Linked DNA regions of Anolis sagrei. The protein of the gene in region 2 purifies or fractionates together with the protein of the main gene of each other region. This does not show direct contact. Links are inferred from orthologs where the notes say so. Each region holds a gene or a part of one and is shown on either strand. Other genes may lie near its edges.

The links.
Region 1: the proteins of RMND5B (region 2) and ARMC8 purify together in Homo sapiens (affinity purification with mass spectrometry; 4 studies listed by BioGRID and IntAct, with this or other methods). This does not show direct contact. The link is inferred for Anolis sagrei from reciprocal best matches to the Homo sapiens genes RMND5B and ARMC8.

What each region holds. Positions count from the first base shown.
Region 1 is NC_090023.1:222,117,553-222,124,852, forward strand, and holds the start of ARMC8 (armadillo repeat-containing protein 8), read right to left. Parts: upstream 3,036-7,300; 5' UTR 2,823-3,035; coding exon 2,778-2,822; intron 1-2,777. UniProt on the Homo sapiens protein: Component of the CTLH E3 ubiquitin-protein ligase complex that selectively accepts ubiquitin from UBE2H and mediates ubiquitination and subsequent proteasomal degradation of the transcription factor HBP1.
Region 2 is NC_090022.1:76,387,298-76,394,550, forward strand, and holds the start of RMND5B (E3 ubiquitin-protein transferase RMND5B), read right to left. Parts: upstream 3,152-7,253; 5' UTR 2,970-3,151; intron 2,708-2,969; exon of another isoform or gene 2,704-2,707; 5' UTR 2,657-2,703; coding exon 2,518-2,656; intron 1-2,517. UniProt on the Homo sapiens protein: Core component of the CTLH E3 ubiquitin-protein ligase complex that selectively accepts ubiquitin from UBE2H and mediates ubiquitination and subsequent proteasomal degradation of the transcription factor HBP1.

The DNA.
Region 1 (7,300 bases), on a different chromosome or scaffold from region 2:
GGGAATAAGAATGCATGGACAGAATCATAGAGTGAGAAGGAGATCTAAGGGCCATCAGGTCCAAGGCAGGATTGCACTATTAAGATTATTATTTATATGGCACTGTTAATATTCATGGCACTATACAAAACAAATATGGCCTCATAAAGGCATACAACCTAATATACATATATATGATACAGAGAGATCATACTGGAAAGCATTGCATTATCTGGCTAAAGCTAGAAAAGAGAATTGCAGTGCAGGGCTTGTACTTGTTTCCCGCCCAATTGTCAAAAACAAAAGACTGGTATCTAGTCACTTCCATTATACTGCAGATACTTTTTAATTACTTTTAAGGTATTAAACATAAAAATGTGTGTAATTAACTATGCCTCATAGTTTATATTTAACCCCATGAAGAAAATGAAGACATGTTACAAAATTTGCTTTCCATTTTGTAAAGAATTTTTAAAAAAGTAAAATACTGTCTAAAAACTCAAACACAGCTGGACAGTTTGCTGAAAAATTAAAAATTATCTTCATCAAAACCAGGGTCAACAAAATGATGGATTACTGCCACCATTCAAACTGCAGGAAAAGAGATTCCACCTAAATATTAGAAAGTTGTTCAGCAGTGGAATATGGTGCCTGGGGGTGTAGTAGAGTCTCCTTCTCTGGAGGTTTTTAAGCAGAGGCTGGATAGTCATCTTTCAGGGTGCTTTGGTTGTGTGTTCCTTCATGGCAGGGAGTTGATACGGCTGTCCTTTGTGTTTTTTTCAAATGCTATGATTCTCTCTTATTCTAAACCAGAGCTTTCCAAACTGTGTGTTAGTTGCAGTGTAGATGTGTCACACAGAAGTAATGAGAAACCGCAAGTCAATGTGAAATAAGCAGTAAATCAAAAAAATTGAAAATATAAATGAGATACGCTGTGTCCATATACATTTCATCATTAGAATTTATGTAGTGCCCATATCTCTTGTAAGGGTTAGTTTAACCTATGGTTTGCTAGTAAAACTTAATAACTGTGTCACAAAAAAGATGCAAGTCTTAAATGTGACACCAACATTTAATGTTTGGAAAGCTCTAGTCTGAACCGTCCACAATTACCACACACAATTTATTCCCATTCAGAAAGTTACCAAGTTTGCATTTCTACTTTCTAGAGAAAGAAATAAAAAATGAGCAATCCTAAAATGTATATATAAAGCTAGATAGTGTGCTGAAAAACAAAAAAAAATCTTATCTCACTAAGACCACCAGATCAATGAAATGAAGAGTTACGGGCACCATTCTTTGTGACAGCTGAACACATGTTAAACACAGAAACACACAAACAAATTACTCCAAAACAAAGGAGCTGTAGGAAATAGGGGTCTAATGTGCATGATAGACATATAATGGAAGGGTACTTTCTGACAGTACCAGTAACTGCTTTTCAACCATATAATATGCTGTCTCAGAGTTTGGCAGAGTCTCCTTCTTTGGGAAGTTTTAAGCAGAGATTGGATGGCCATCTGTCAGGAGTGCTTTGATTGTATGTTCCTGCATGGCAAAAAGGGGTTGAACTGAGTGGCCCTTGTGGTCTCTTCCAACTCTATGATACTATTCCCTGTGATAGCTGAACACAAGTTACAAAGAGAAGCATACATTCTTTTCGACAGAATTCACTCAAAAAGGAAGGAGCTGTGAGGAAGACAGGGCAAGCATGGTTTCATATAATTATTCTTACAGATATGATGGTTTCAGGAAAAAGACAGCTTTAGTTTGAATTTTAAAAGTAAATTACAGTATAAATGTTCACATTACAAAGTTTGCTTTTTCTTTTTTTAGACAAATAAAAATAATCTGTCTGAAACACATACAAAGCTAGATAATGCGCCTAAAAACAAAACAAAAAATCTTCTCTCATACACATTGGTGTGTATATGGACACACCAAGAAGTAAGGGTCAGTAAGAGTAAGGCTGCTGCCACAATGCCCTGTGACAGCTGAACATGGTGATATACAGAAACACACGCACATATCTACATAAATCATGCAAAAAAGGTGGGCAGGAGCTGTGGGGAGTATTTCCATGCATAGGTTCATATAAACTATTCCTACTGAGGATGTTGATGATAATAACGATGATTATTAGTCACCCACCTCTCATGGCTCAAGAAATACATATATAAGAGACTAGCCATCCCCTGCCATGCATTCCTGTGGCCGAGTCTGTGTATATGCGTCTTGTATGTGTATATATGTGTGCATGTATTTCCGTATAGGTGTATAAATGTGGTTATGCACATGTGCTGTAATGTTTGTTTGTTTGTTTTTGGCTTTTTAAGTTTTTTCCACTGTGTTTTCCAGTGTTTTTAATAAGTGATGGTCACTTGTTGGCCTGATACGTGTATCGTATCCAAATTTGGTGTCAATTCGCCCAATGGTTGAGTTATGTTAATCTCACAAATGAGCATTACATTTTTATTTATATAGATTAAACTTGGAGCATGGCTTAAGCGGCTGAGGGGGGAAAGGAAGGGGCCTGAGGCTGTTAGGAATGGTGGGAGCTGAAGTCCAAAACGCCTGGAGGGAGGGCCGAAGTCTGCCCATGCCTGCCCTAGAGTGCACTGCTTACTACTGAAGGCGGGAGCCTCTCTGGGAGCGAATGACAGGCGCTGGGAGAAAGGAGGGAGAGAGGGAGCCGGCCAGGGGCAGCTCAGCCTCCTTCTGAGGCGCTCAGAGCCACAACTGAGGCCGCCCTACCCGGCCCCGCTTCCCTCCTTCCTTCCCGCCGGGGACTGACTCACCGACAGGACGCTCATGCGGAGCGGCGCCTCCAGCACACACGCCATCTTGGCGCGCCCCACTCGCGGCCCGGCGCTCAACCTCGCGCGAGGGACCCCGGGGTCACGACCGACGCCGCGCGCGACCACATCGCCGGCAAGAGGAGAAGAGGGAGGAGGGGGGAAAAGGAGGGAAGGAAGGCTCTCCTCCGTCTCGAATCAGCGAACGAGGAAAAACAGCTTTCGCCGCTCGCGAGGCAGTGCGCATGCGCCCTCAGCCGCTATTGGTGGGAAGGCGGGGTGATTGCCGGAAGTGGCATGAGAGTGACGCGCCTGCTCTACTTTTAGATCGCGGGGCGTTGCGCCCAACGGTGCTTAGTTGACGTCCCGCCCCAGGCGCATGCGCAGAAGAGGCGGCACCTGTCCAATGCCGTCCTTGGTAGTGAAGGAGGGGAGTGAAGGCAGGCTAGGGCGTATGTGTGGTCCTGTTGCGCCACCTACTGGCGAGCTGGGAAGTAACACTGGAAAAGTCTACTTTTAACTTCCAAGGCCCCTTGCACACACTCAGAGCCCTCTTAACTCATCATTGTTATTACTCAGCATGGTATTGTTTTTCTGATGTTATGTTTTATTGTGATACTAGCTGTCCCCTGCAACGCGTTCCTGTGGTCCAGTCTGTGTATATGTGTTTTGTGTGTGTGTATATGCATATATGTGTGTATACCCACAGACATCAGATCGGCTCCCTCATTAATGGCATTTCGGAAAAAAGTGAAAACCTGGTTATTTGAACAGGCGTTTGAATAGGCAGTGCAATGAATTACAATGAATTATAGGAAATCGGAACAACGGATGACGAGCTTGGATTATGATTTTAGTTATGAGACGCTAGTGAGTTGTTTATTGATGGTTATTGATGGTTATTGATGTTAATTGCTTAGTGTATTATTGCGTTAATTGTTTTTTAAATGGCTGTATGATGTTTGCATTGAATTTTTGCCGCTGCTTGTTGTTAACTGCTCTGAGTCGCCTAATGGCTGAGAAGAGTGGTATACAAATAAAGTAAATAAATAAATAAATATATTTGTGTATATGTTTATATATTGTGTTTGTGGATATATGTGGTTTTGCGCATGCGTTGTAATGTATTTTTTGGGGGGGTTGACTTTTTAAGTTTCTTCTGCTATGTTTTTCAGTGTTTTTATGAGTGATGGTCACTTGTTGGCCTGATAGGTGTATTGTGTCCAAATTTGGTGTCAATTTGTCCAGTGATTTCTGCGTTATGTTAATCCTACAAACAAACATTACATTTTTATTTATATAGATCAGTGGTTCTCAACCTGGGGTCCCCAGATGTTTTTGGCCTACAACTCCCAGAAATCCCAGCCTGTTTACCAGCTGTTAGAATTTCTGGGAGTTGAATGCCAAAAACATCTGGGGACCCCAGGTTGAGAACCACTGATATAGATGTTCTCCCACCCTGGATATCCCACAGACATATAAACCCAATTTTCCCAGTTTCCAACAGACCTCATAAGCTCTGAGGATGCCTGCCATCAATGCAGGTGAACTGTCAGGAGAGATTGCTTCTAGTGAAGGAGACAATGAGTGATTTTTGCAATAACTAAGCTTTGGCAACAAAACATAAGAAAGATATATCTCCCTGCAGGGAAAGAGCAACATGTCAGCAAGAGGGAGGATGTTCTTAAAAGAGAAGAAGTTTTGCAACCCCCCTGAGTGAGGTGACATATATGGTACATGCTTATGCTTGAGTTAAGTGGCTAAAATATTAAGTTGCTAACCTACTCAGCTTACATAGGAAATGGGTTTGTGGTGAAGCGCAAAATCTGCATAAAGAGAACAAATTGTTGTTTTGACAACCAGACATTCAGGCCAGGTGCAAGAAGGCACAGTTCATCAAAAGGTTAATGGGAGGGGGACTGGAAAGAGTAAAAGTACGTTCCATGACCAAAATATCTTTGTTTACCTTGTTGTATAAAAGTTTGAAGAAGCCGAAGAGTGGTACGGCAGTCACTTGCAAGTGTTGGTGCCTGCACGCACTTAACACGGCTGTCCGACTTCCTCGTGGCCATTATGAAAATAAAATGTTGTTTTTGATATTCTCCTGGGACTGCCTTCTTCCTTACGTGCTCCTGTGACCTGGACCTAAGTATTAGACCCGATTTAGGGTCTCTAACACTAGAACATGGCCATATAGCCCAAAAAACCTGCTACAATCCACTGTTCTTATTTTGTTTTGTTTTGATTTTATCTTATTGTGTTATGTTTTAACTTTGTTCTCTTTGAGCTTGTCCCTTTGAAGCTGCCCTGAGTCCTTTTGGGGAGATGGAGGCAGGGTATAAAAATAAAATTATTATTATTATTCCACACAGCTGCATAAAATCCACATTGACTGCATTATTTGACAGTGTGGACCCAGGTGTGGCACCTCAGTAGGGGTTCACCTTGCTCATAGCACTCACCAGGAAAGCAGACGTGGGAGTAAAGAGACTATTGATAAAACACATATAAGAAAGGGCCAATAGGGTAAAAATCCCATTGTTACTATAGAAGGCAAGTCCCATAGGCAATAGGTAAATCCAAAAACAAGAGTTACAACTTGAACATTAGAACAAGGAACAAAACAAGAGCATGAATCAGTACGTAAATCCTTAAAACAAGAAGCAAAACTTGACTAGGAATCTTGTGCCTTGAGCTTACAGAGCATGAACCAGGAACAAAACAGGAGTTTCCCACTCCAGTAGCGATGTTGCTTGATCTGGAATCCTAACAGCTCTCTCTCTCTCTCTCTCTCTCTCTCATTTAAAGGCTGCAAAATATGAATGCATTCCTTTGACCTTGAGAGGCCTGCTTCTGCCTCTCCTTCCCATGGCTTCGCTTGCACCTAAATTTATTCCCCTGCAGGAGCAGCCTGGTATCTCTGTCTAAGCCAACTGCTTCTTCGGATGAGCTCATGTTATCCTTCCTTCCCTGCCTGTCAGCTTCCAAAGTAGATTAATTCCCAGACTCAGAAACAACATCTTGCTCCAAAACCCCCTCCGTTCTCCCAACTGGAGAACCATCTTGCTCCAACACGCCCTCTGTCTGGGCACCACAGAACCATCAGGCCCTACACCCCCAAACCTCTCAAACACCAGGCCCCTTCCACAAAGCTGAATAAAACCCCACATTATCTGCATTGAACTAGAATCTATGGCAGTGTGGACTCAGATAACCCAGGGTCCTTCCACACAGCCATATAATGCAGAATATCAGGGCAGAAAATCCCACAATACCTGCTTTTAACAGAGTTATCTGAGTCCACACTGCTTCCAGTTCAAAGCAGATAATGGGTTTTATTCCACTCTGTGGAAGGGGCCATGAGTCTACACTGCCATATAATCCAGTTCATGAAGATAATCCAGATTTTATATGGCAGTGCAGAAGGGGCCTTATTTTCATTGAGGACCACATCAGCTTGAGGGTTGCCTTCATGCTGTGGAATCCATGGATGGAGAATCCATGGATACAGAGGGCCAACTATATTTTTTTCATATAGTGGTCAGTGCTGCTTAGTTTTTACCCAATTTGGGTCTCCAAGTGTTACTGAACAACAACTCGCATCACTTTTGATTATCTGCTATGAAGACTGGGGATAATGGTAGTTGTAACCCATATCCACAAGCCCTGGATCTCAATTTAAACTCTCCTGACTAAACAGAACAAACTACAGCCTTTCAGATATATCCCAATTCCCATTCACTGTAATCATTATTATTAATAACAATAATAATAATAACTTTATTTGTACCCTGCCTTTATCTCCCCAAAGGAACTCGGGGCAGCTGACATGGGGCCAAGCCCAAGCAATTACAATAAAGCAAAATAAAATACATACAAGACACACAATAACATCAAATAAATGTGCTTATACAATAACATAATAAGCCAATAAAGTAGTAACAATAGCATAATAAAACAGAATATAAAAACAGTACAAGAATTTAAATGAGGGCAAGCCGGGCCAAGTGCGAGAAGTAAAAATTGTAAAACCCGTGGGTGAGATAGATAAAGTGCTGTATTAAATGAGAGACCCGTCTGGGATAAACAATGAGGTTATTCTCAACTGAGGAATGAGACAAAGTGCATCAGAAAGACAATTGACACTGAGACAGGACTTGACATGGGAATTAGTTACTCGTTCTTCAAAAGTGCACCAGAAAAGCCAAGTTTTTAAGCTTTTCCTAAAAGCTGCCAGAGTGGGTGCTTGCCTAATCTCTCTGGGGAGCGAGTTCCAAAGCTGAGGGATCACCACAGAGAAGGCCCTCTCCTTCGTTTCCACAAGCCACGCTTGTGACACAGGTGGGAGCGAGAGGAGGGCCTCCTCTGAAGATGAAAGCATCGTGCAGGTTCATAAGGGGAAATGCGGTCACGAAAGTAGATGGATCCTGAACTGTTCAGGGCTTTGTAGGTGATAACCTGCACCTTGAACTGGGACTGGAAAATGAATAGCAGCCAATGACGTCGAATGATGAGGAATACGTGAG
Region 2 (7,253 bases):
CCATGTTCCAGACGTTTCACCCACATCTATGGCAGGAATCCTCAGAGGTTGAGGGGTCTGTTGGAAACTGGTCAACTAAGGTTTATATATCTTTGAAATGCCCAGAGTGGGAGAAAGAACTCTTGTCTGCTTGAGGCATGTGTGAATATTGCAAATGGACACCTTAGGTAAAGGTTTTCCCCTGACGTTAAGTTTAGCCATGTCCAGCTCTAAGGAGTGGTGCTCATCTCCATTTCTAAGCTGAAAAACTGGCGTTGTCTGTAGATGCCTCCTCAGGTGGCCAGCATGACTGCATAGAAGGCTGTTACCTTCCTGCTAGAGCGGTACCTATTGATCAATTCACATTTGCATGTTTTCAAACTGCTAGGTTGGCAGAAGCTGGGGCTAACAGCGAGAGCTCACCTTGCTCCCCAGACTCAAACCGCCAACCTTTCTGTCAGCAAGTTCAGCAGCTCTGCAGTTTAATCTGCTGCGCCACCAGGGGCTCCCTAATTAGCACTGAATGGCCCTGCAGCTTCAAAACCTGGCTGACAGCTGCCTGGGAGATCCTTTGTAGCGAGGTATTAGCTGGCCCTGATTGTTTCTTGTCTGGAATTTTGAGTATTGCTCTTTATTTACTGTCCTGATATTATCTTTAATGTTTTCCATCCCCACAGAAGGGAAGAGGAGTTTGCAGGGCTCATTTTCTATCATGTTATTTTGAGATTATTTATTTTATTTTGTCATTCCTTGTGTTAATTTGATGCTATTTTGTTTCTTTGAAATCTTTTTCGTTTTATTGTATTGCTATTTCTGGGCTTGGCCTCATGTTAGCCACCCCGAGTCCCCATTGGGAAGATGGTGGCAGGGTATAAATAAAGATTATTATTATTATTATTATTATTATTATTATTATCTCATCTCATGTGGCAAAATACGATGGGCGATAGTATGATAGCTGGGTCCAGAAGCTCCGAGCGTTACACATATTCTGCAATGGCGGTTCTGAATAAGGGAAGGGGATAGCAGAACACTGAGGGCGGGAATATACTTCGTAGTTGCATTTGGTGGAAGGATAGAAAGGAGGGGAGGGTTAGGATAAAGTTTAGGGTAAGGTTAAGGGTTAGGATTAGGGTAAGGTTTAGGGCAGGGGTCCTCAAACTAAGGCCCGAGGGCCAGATACAGCCCTCCAAGGTCATTTACCCGGCCCTCGCTTTCAAGTCTGAAATGACTTGAAAGCACACAACAACAACAATCCTATCTCATCAGTGAAGAAGCAGGCCCACACTTGCCATTGATATACTAATAAGTTTATATTTGTTAAAATTGTTCTTCATCTTAATTATTGTACTGTTTTTAAAAAAAATATGAATGAATTCCTATGCACATTGCACATATACAAATAAGATATGTGCAATGTGCATAGGAATTCATTCATATTTTTTTTCAAATTATAATCCGGCCATCCAAGTTTGAGGGACTGTGACCTGGCCCTCTGTTTAAAAAGTTTGAGGACTCCTGGTTTAGGGTTTGGTTAGGGTTAGGGTAAGGTTTAGGATAGGAGCCCCCAGTGGTGCAGTGGGTTAAAGCCCTGAGCTGCTGAGCTTGTTGACTGAAAGGTCAGAGGTTCCAATCCGAGGAGCGGCGTGAGCTTCCACTGTCAGCCTCAGCTTCTGCCAACCTAGCAGTTTGAAAACATGCAGATGTGAGTAGATCAATATATACCGCTCCGGCAGGAAGGTAACGGCACTCCATGCAGTCATGCCGGCCACATGACCTTGGAGGTGTTTACAAACAATGCCGGCTCTTCGGCTTAGAAATGGAGATGAGCACCCAGAGTTGGACACGACTGGACTTAATGTCAGGGAAAACCTTTAGGTTTTAGGATAAGCATTAGGGTTCAGGTAAGGGTTAGGGTTTTACCATTAAAGAACTCTTACATTCCTTCTATAATATCTGTGTTCTGTTCTGCGTTGCGCAAACAGCACTCCCAAAGGAGCAAAGCGGAAACAGTGTAACACTCAGAGCTTCCAGACCCAGCTTTCATACCATCACCATACGATGCGTTTCTTTGGGTACATTGACTTGGTTGTGTGGTGGCATGTGGGGCAATGTATCCTTTGTTATTGTGCCTCTGGCATTGCCCAAACTCTAGTTCAACAAAGCCCATTTCCAGCCATTTCTGTTCAATTCAACGCAGAATTCCAGAGGTTTGATATCACTAACTGCCATTAACAGTGAACTTGAGCACATTCCACTTGAAACTGAATGGATGGAGCAGGCCTGGGCCGGCTTGGGCCCTCTGGGTGTTTTGGACTCCAACTCCCACCATTCCTAACAGCCTCAGGCCCTTTCCTTTTCCCCCTCAGCCGCTTAAGCGGCTGAGGGGGGAAAGGAAGGGGCCTGAGGCTGTTAGGAATGGTGGGAGTTGGAGTCCAAAACACCCAGAGGGCCCAAGCCGGCCCAGGCCTGCTCTAGACTCCTTTGTTCGCCAGTTGAGGAAGGAGGGAGCCGGCTGTGAGTAGGCCCCGCTTGTACCTGCGGCGCCCAGCTCCTCCCTCAGCCGGGTGACGTAGCCGAGGAGCTCCTCCAGGCCCCGCTCGCAGTGCTGCCCGTAGCAGAGGAACTTCTGCAGCACTTTGTCCAGCTCCCTTTCTACGCAGGCGCATCGCTCCATGGGTCCGGAAGGAAGCGCGAGAGCAGCGCGAGAGCCTCCAGTCTAGTCTGGCTGAAGAGAAAGGAAAAGAGGGGGAGGGGGTTAAGGAGGGAGACACAACCCTATACAGCCCTTTATTGGACCCTTTCGAGGGCACTTGAAGAAAGACCCGTATGTGTCTTATAAACCCAGCCCTCCAACCCAAGCCACCTCCCTACCACTCTCTCTCTCCTCCCCCCCAATACAACAATGGTACATTCCCCCATAATAGTAGATATAGGGGACGCGGGCTATACCACTTGGCTGGGAAAGGGGGAACTCAAGAAAAGCTAACCTGAGAGCCGCGGGATGAGACGTTCAATTCCCTTCAGTCCGGGGCAGGGCGATCATAATTATTGTTCTAATGTAGCGCCTCCTCCTTCCCTTGGTCCCGGCATGATAAAGTTCTCTGATGATGGGGCAAACCATTCCTATGGAGGAGGGTGTGCCTGGAATGAACCACCGGCCGGCAACAGCTGGGTGGAACCAGTCTTCTTTTTTTTTTCCCAAGCCGAAAGTGACGCGCAGCGCTGGAAGGAACCATTTCTTCGCGGGTCGATTTGGAGAGCTCAGGAGGGTGTAGCTAGGAGCATTGGTAAATCAAGCGTGGGCTTGCCCATTTGGGGAAAACAGCAAAAGTGCCTATTAAGAAGGGTCAGCCTGAGTGCTTCCACTGGGTGACTCAGGTCTGGTGCTGTTTACACACGTTGAGCATCCCTTATCCCAAAGACTTGGAACCAGAAGGATTTCGGATATTTTTTTAAAACTGTATTTTGAAACACTTGCCTATACATAATGAGGTATCTTGGAAATGGGACCAACTCCCAACACAAAATGTATTTAATGTTTCATATACACCTTAAACCAGTGGTTCTCAACCTACCTAATGTCGCGACCCCTTAATACAGTTCCTTATGTTGTGGTGACCCCCAACCATAACATTATTTTTGTTGCTACTTCATAACTGTAATTTTGCTACTGTTATGAATCATAATGTAAATATCTGATATGCAGGATGGATTTTCATTCATTGAACCAAATTTGGCACAAATACCCAATACACCCAAATTTGAATACTGGTGGAGTACATTGATGTTGTCATTTGGGAGTTGTAGTTGCTGGGATTTCTAGTTTGCCTACCATCAAAGATCTTTCAGAACTCCACCAACGATGGAATTGAATCAGACCTGGCCACACAGAAATTCCACGACCAACAGAAAATGCTTGAACAGCTTGGTGGGCATTGACCTTGAGTTTGGGAGTTGTAGTTCACCTATATCCAGAGAGCACTGTGGACTCAAACAATGATCAATCTGGACCAAACTTGGCACAAACACTCAATATGTCCAAATGTGGACACTGGTGGAGTTTGGGGAAAATAGACCTTGACATTTGGGAGTTGTAGTTGCTGGGATTTATAGTTCACCTACAATCAAAGAGCATTCTGAACCCCACCAATGATAGAATTAGGCCAAACTTCCCACACAGAACCCCTATGACCAACAGAAAATATTGTATATTCTGATGGTCTTCGGGGACCCCTCTGACACCCCCTCGCGACCCCCCCCAGGGGTCCCGACCCCCAGGTTGAAAAACACTGCCTTAAACAGACAGCCTTAATATTTTATACACAATATTTTAAACAATTTTTATTTATTTACTAGCCATCCCCTGCCACATGTTGCTGTGGCCCAGTCTGTGTACAGGCCCGTAGCCAGGATTTCGATTGGGGGGGGGGGCTGAGTCTGAGTGAAAGAGGGTCTAGCCTAGCAAACCTTTTGTATCATTACCCCAATACCCCCATGCATATGGGATATATTGAGCATGGTGATCAGATCATGATATGAATAAACATAACAGTTTAAATAATGTACCAGTAAGGCCTTTCGCAGACCACCATGAGAATTTCGGGGGGGGGGGGGAGGCTGAAGCCCCTCAAGCCCCCCCCCCCCCGCTACATGCCTGCCTGTGTATGTGTGTTTTGTTTGTGTATATATGTGGTTTTGTGCATGCAGTGTAATGTTTGTTTTTGTGTGGGTTTTTTTTGTTGCTTTTTTGGTCTCTTCTGATGTGCTTTTCAGTGATTTTATGAGTGATGGTCACTTGTTGGCCTGATAGGTGTATTGTGTCCAAATTTGGTATCAATTCACCCAGTGTTTTCTGAGTTATGTTAATCCTACAAATGTGTCAGAGTGCGACAGAAGCTTTGAAGCTTAGAAGAATGGACACTTTGAGACTTCAGTAAAAGCAAACGTATAGCTTTACTGAGTAGAGCAAATATACAGCACACACTCACATTGACGCCCAACCAAAAGAACAGAAACAAGACAAAAGCACCGAAGTAAGAAGGACGAACGAAATCTTATCTCTGGATCCTCCCTACGCATTCCAGGCACACTCAGGGTCACAACTTCACAGTTCATTAGAGGCTTGACTGCTTAACCCAGGCCCGTAGCCAGGATTTTGATTGGGGGGGGGGGCTGTATATGTGTGTATATATATATATATGTGTGTGTGTATATATTTGTTTATATATGTGTGTTTGCATATATATGTGTAGTTTTGCGCATGCATTGTGATGTAATTTTTGGGAGGTATTTTTTTGCATTTTAAGTCTCTTCTGCTGTGTTTACATTTTTATTTATATAGATATATTTATATCCCACTTTATCTTTCCATTTTGAGACTCAAAGCAGCTCACAATTAAAAATATTACAATACAACTTAAATATACAATAATAAATGAGTATTATCATTATATATTATTATATATTATCAGCAGTATTATATTTAATATATTAGTATTATTAATATTATATTACAATATTGCTATATGTTATATTGTATTATATATTATTACATTGTATTATTATTATTATATGTGTGTGTGTGTGTATGTATATGTGTGTGTATATTCTCAAGAGTGACTTGAGAAACTGCAAGTTACTTCTGGTGTGAGAGAATTGGCCGTCTGCAAGGACGTTACCCAGGGGATGCCCAGATGTTTTAATCTTTTACCATCCTTATGGGAGGCTTCTCTTAAGTCCCTGCATGGGGAGCTGGAGCTGACAGAGGGAGCTCATCCGTGCACTCTCCGGATTTGAACCTGCGACCTGTCGATCTTTAGTCCAGCTGGCACAAGGGTTTAACCCATTGCGCCACCAGGGGCTCCTATATATATTATTACAATAGCACAATATTAGTATTATATATTATTACTCTCTCTCTCTCTCTCTCTATATATATATATATATATATATTACTATACTGCAATATTATTCGTCATATTATTTGTGCCTGAAACAAAGTTTGTGTGCATTGAACCACTATAAAGCCACCCACATATAAGAAACCAACACTTTCTCATTACTTTATTTTCCAGATCACCACACTGGGCCACAGCAACGTGTAGCAGGGAACAGCTAGTCTATATAAGTAAAAATGTAATGTTCGTTTGTGGGATTAACATAAGTCAAAAACCACTGGACAAATTGGCACCAAACTTGGACACAATACACCTATCAGGCCAACAAGTGACCGTCACTCATAAAAACACCAAAAACACAGCAGAAGAGACTTTAAAAGCCAAAAAACAAAAATTACATTACAACATACGTGCAAAACCACATACATATACGCAAACACACATATATACACATATACACAAATATATACAAACATATACACACACAAAACATATACACAAACTGGGCCACAGCAACACGTAGCAGGGGATGGCTAGTATAAACAATAAGTAAATATCATGTGACCTCTTGCTAGTTTGAGCACTACGGTCAATTAAAATTCCATTTTGATAGTTTTTATCTGTGCATAACATTGTACTCTTAGTCAAAAATGTCCTGCCATTTATAACTCATTTTTTCAATTTTATTTATAAAAAAACCTCCATGTATGGATTGGTAGCCGACAATGCTAAATAGGATCGTCCTTGAAGATGATTTAGGATCTTCCAATGACCCAGTGGATTGATTGTTATCTAAGATTGAGATCCGCTGTGTCAGATCTTGAGAAGGCATGACTCAGTAGAAAAGATGATAATGCTTAGTAGTATGAAAAGAGGAAAACTGCATTATAGATGAGTAGACTCAGTCTAGGAAGCCACAGCCCTGAATCTGCAAGAGGTGAGTACAGCAGTTGAGGACAGGGTGAGGTCTCTCAGTGAGGTCTCTCAATCATAAGGTCTCCGTGAGTCAGAGTCGCCTGGGCAGAAATTGACAACATCAGCAGCTTACATTTAAGATGGAAAGTGTGGATTTGGCCCTTGTAATCAACTTTTTATTTTTTTAAAATAAGAAAAAAATTGCAAAAAGCCAGTTAGGCCTGAATATAGCAAGGTATTCTCCTATTGACTCTCACTTCCAAGAATGAAAATCTAATAAGGTTTTATCACTTTAACCCAGGTATGGGCAAACTCGGACCCTCCAGGTGTTTTGGACTCCAACTCCCACCATTCCTAACAGCCTCAGGCCCTTTCCTTTTCCCCCTCAGCCGCTTAAGAGGACTCAAATTTGCCCATGCCTGCTTTAACCCCATTTCCACTGCCATATAATGCAATTTA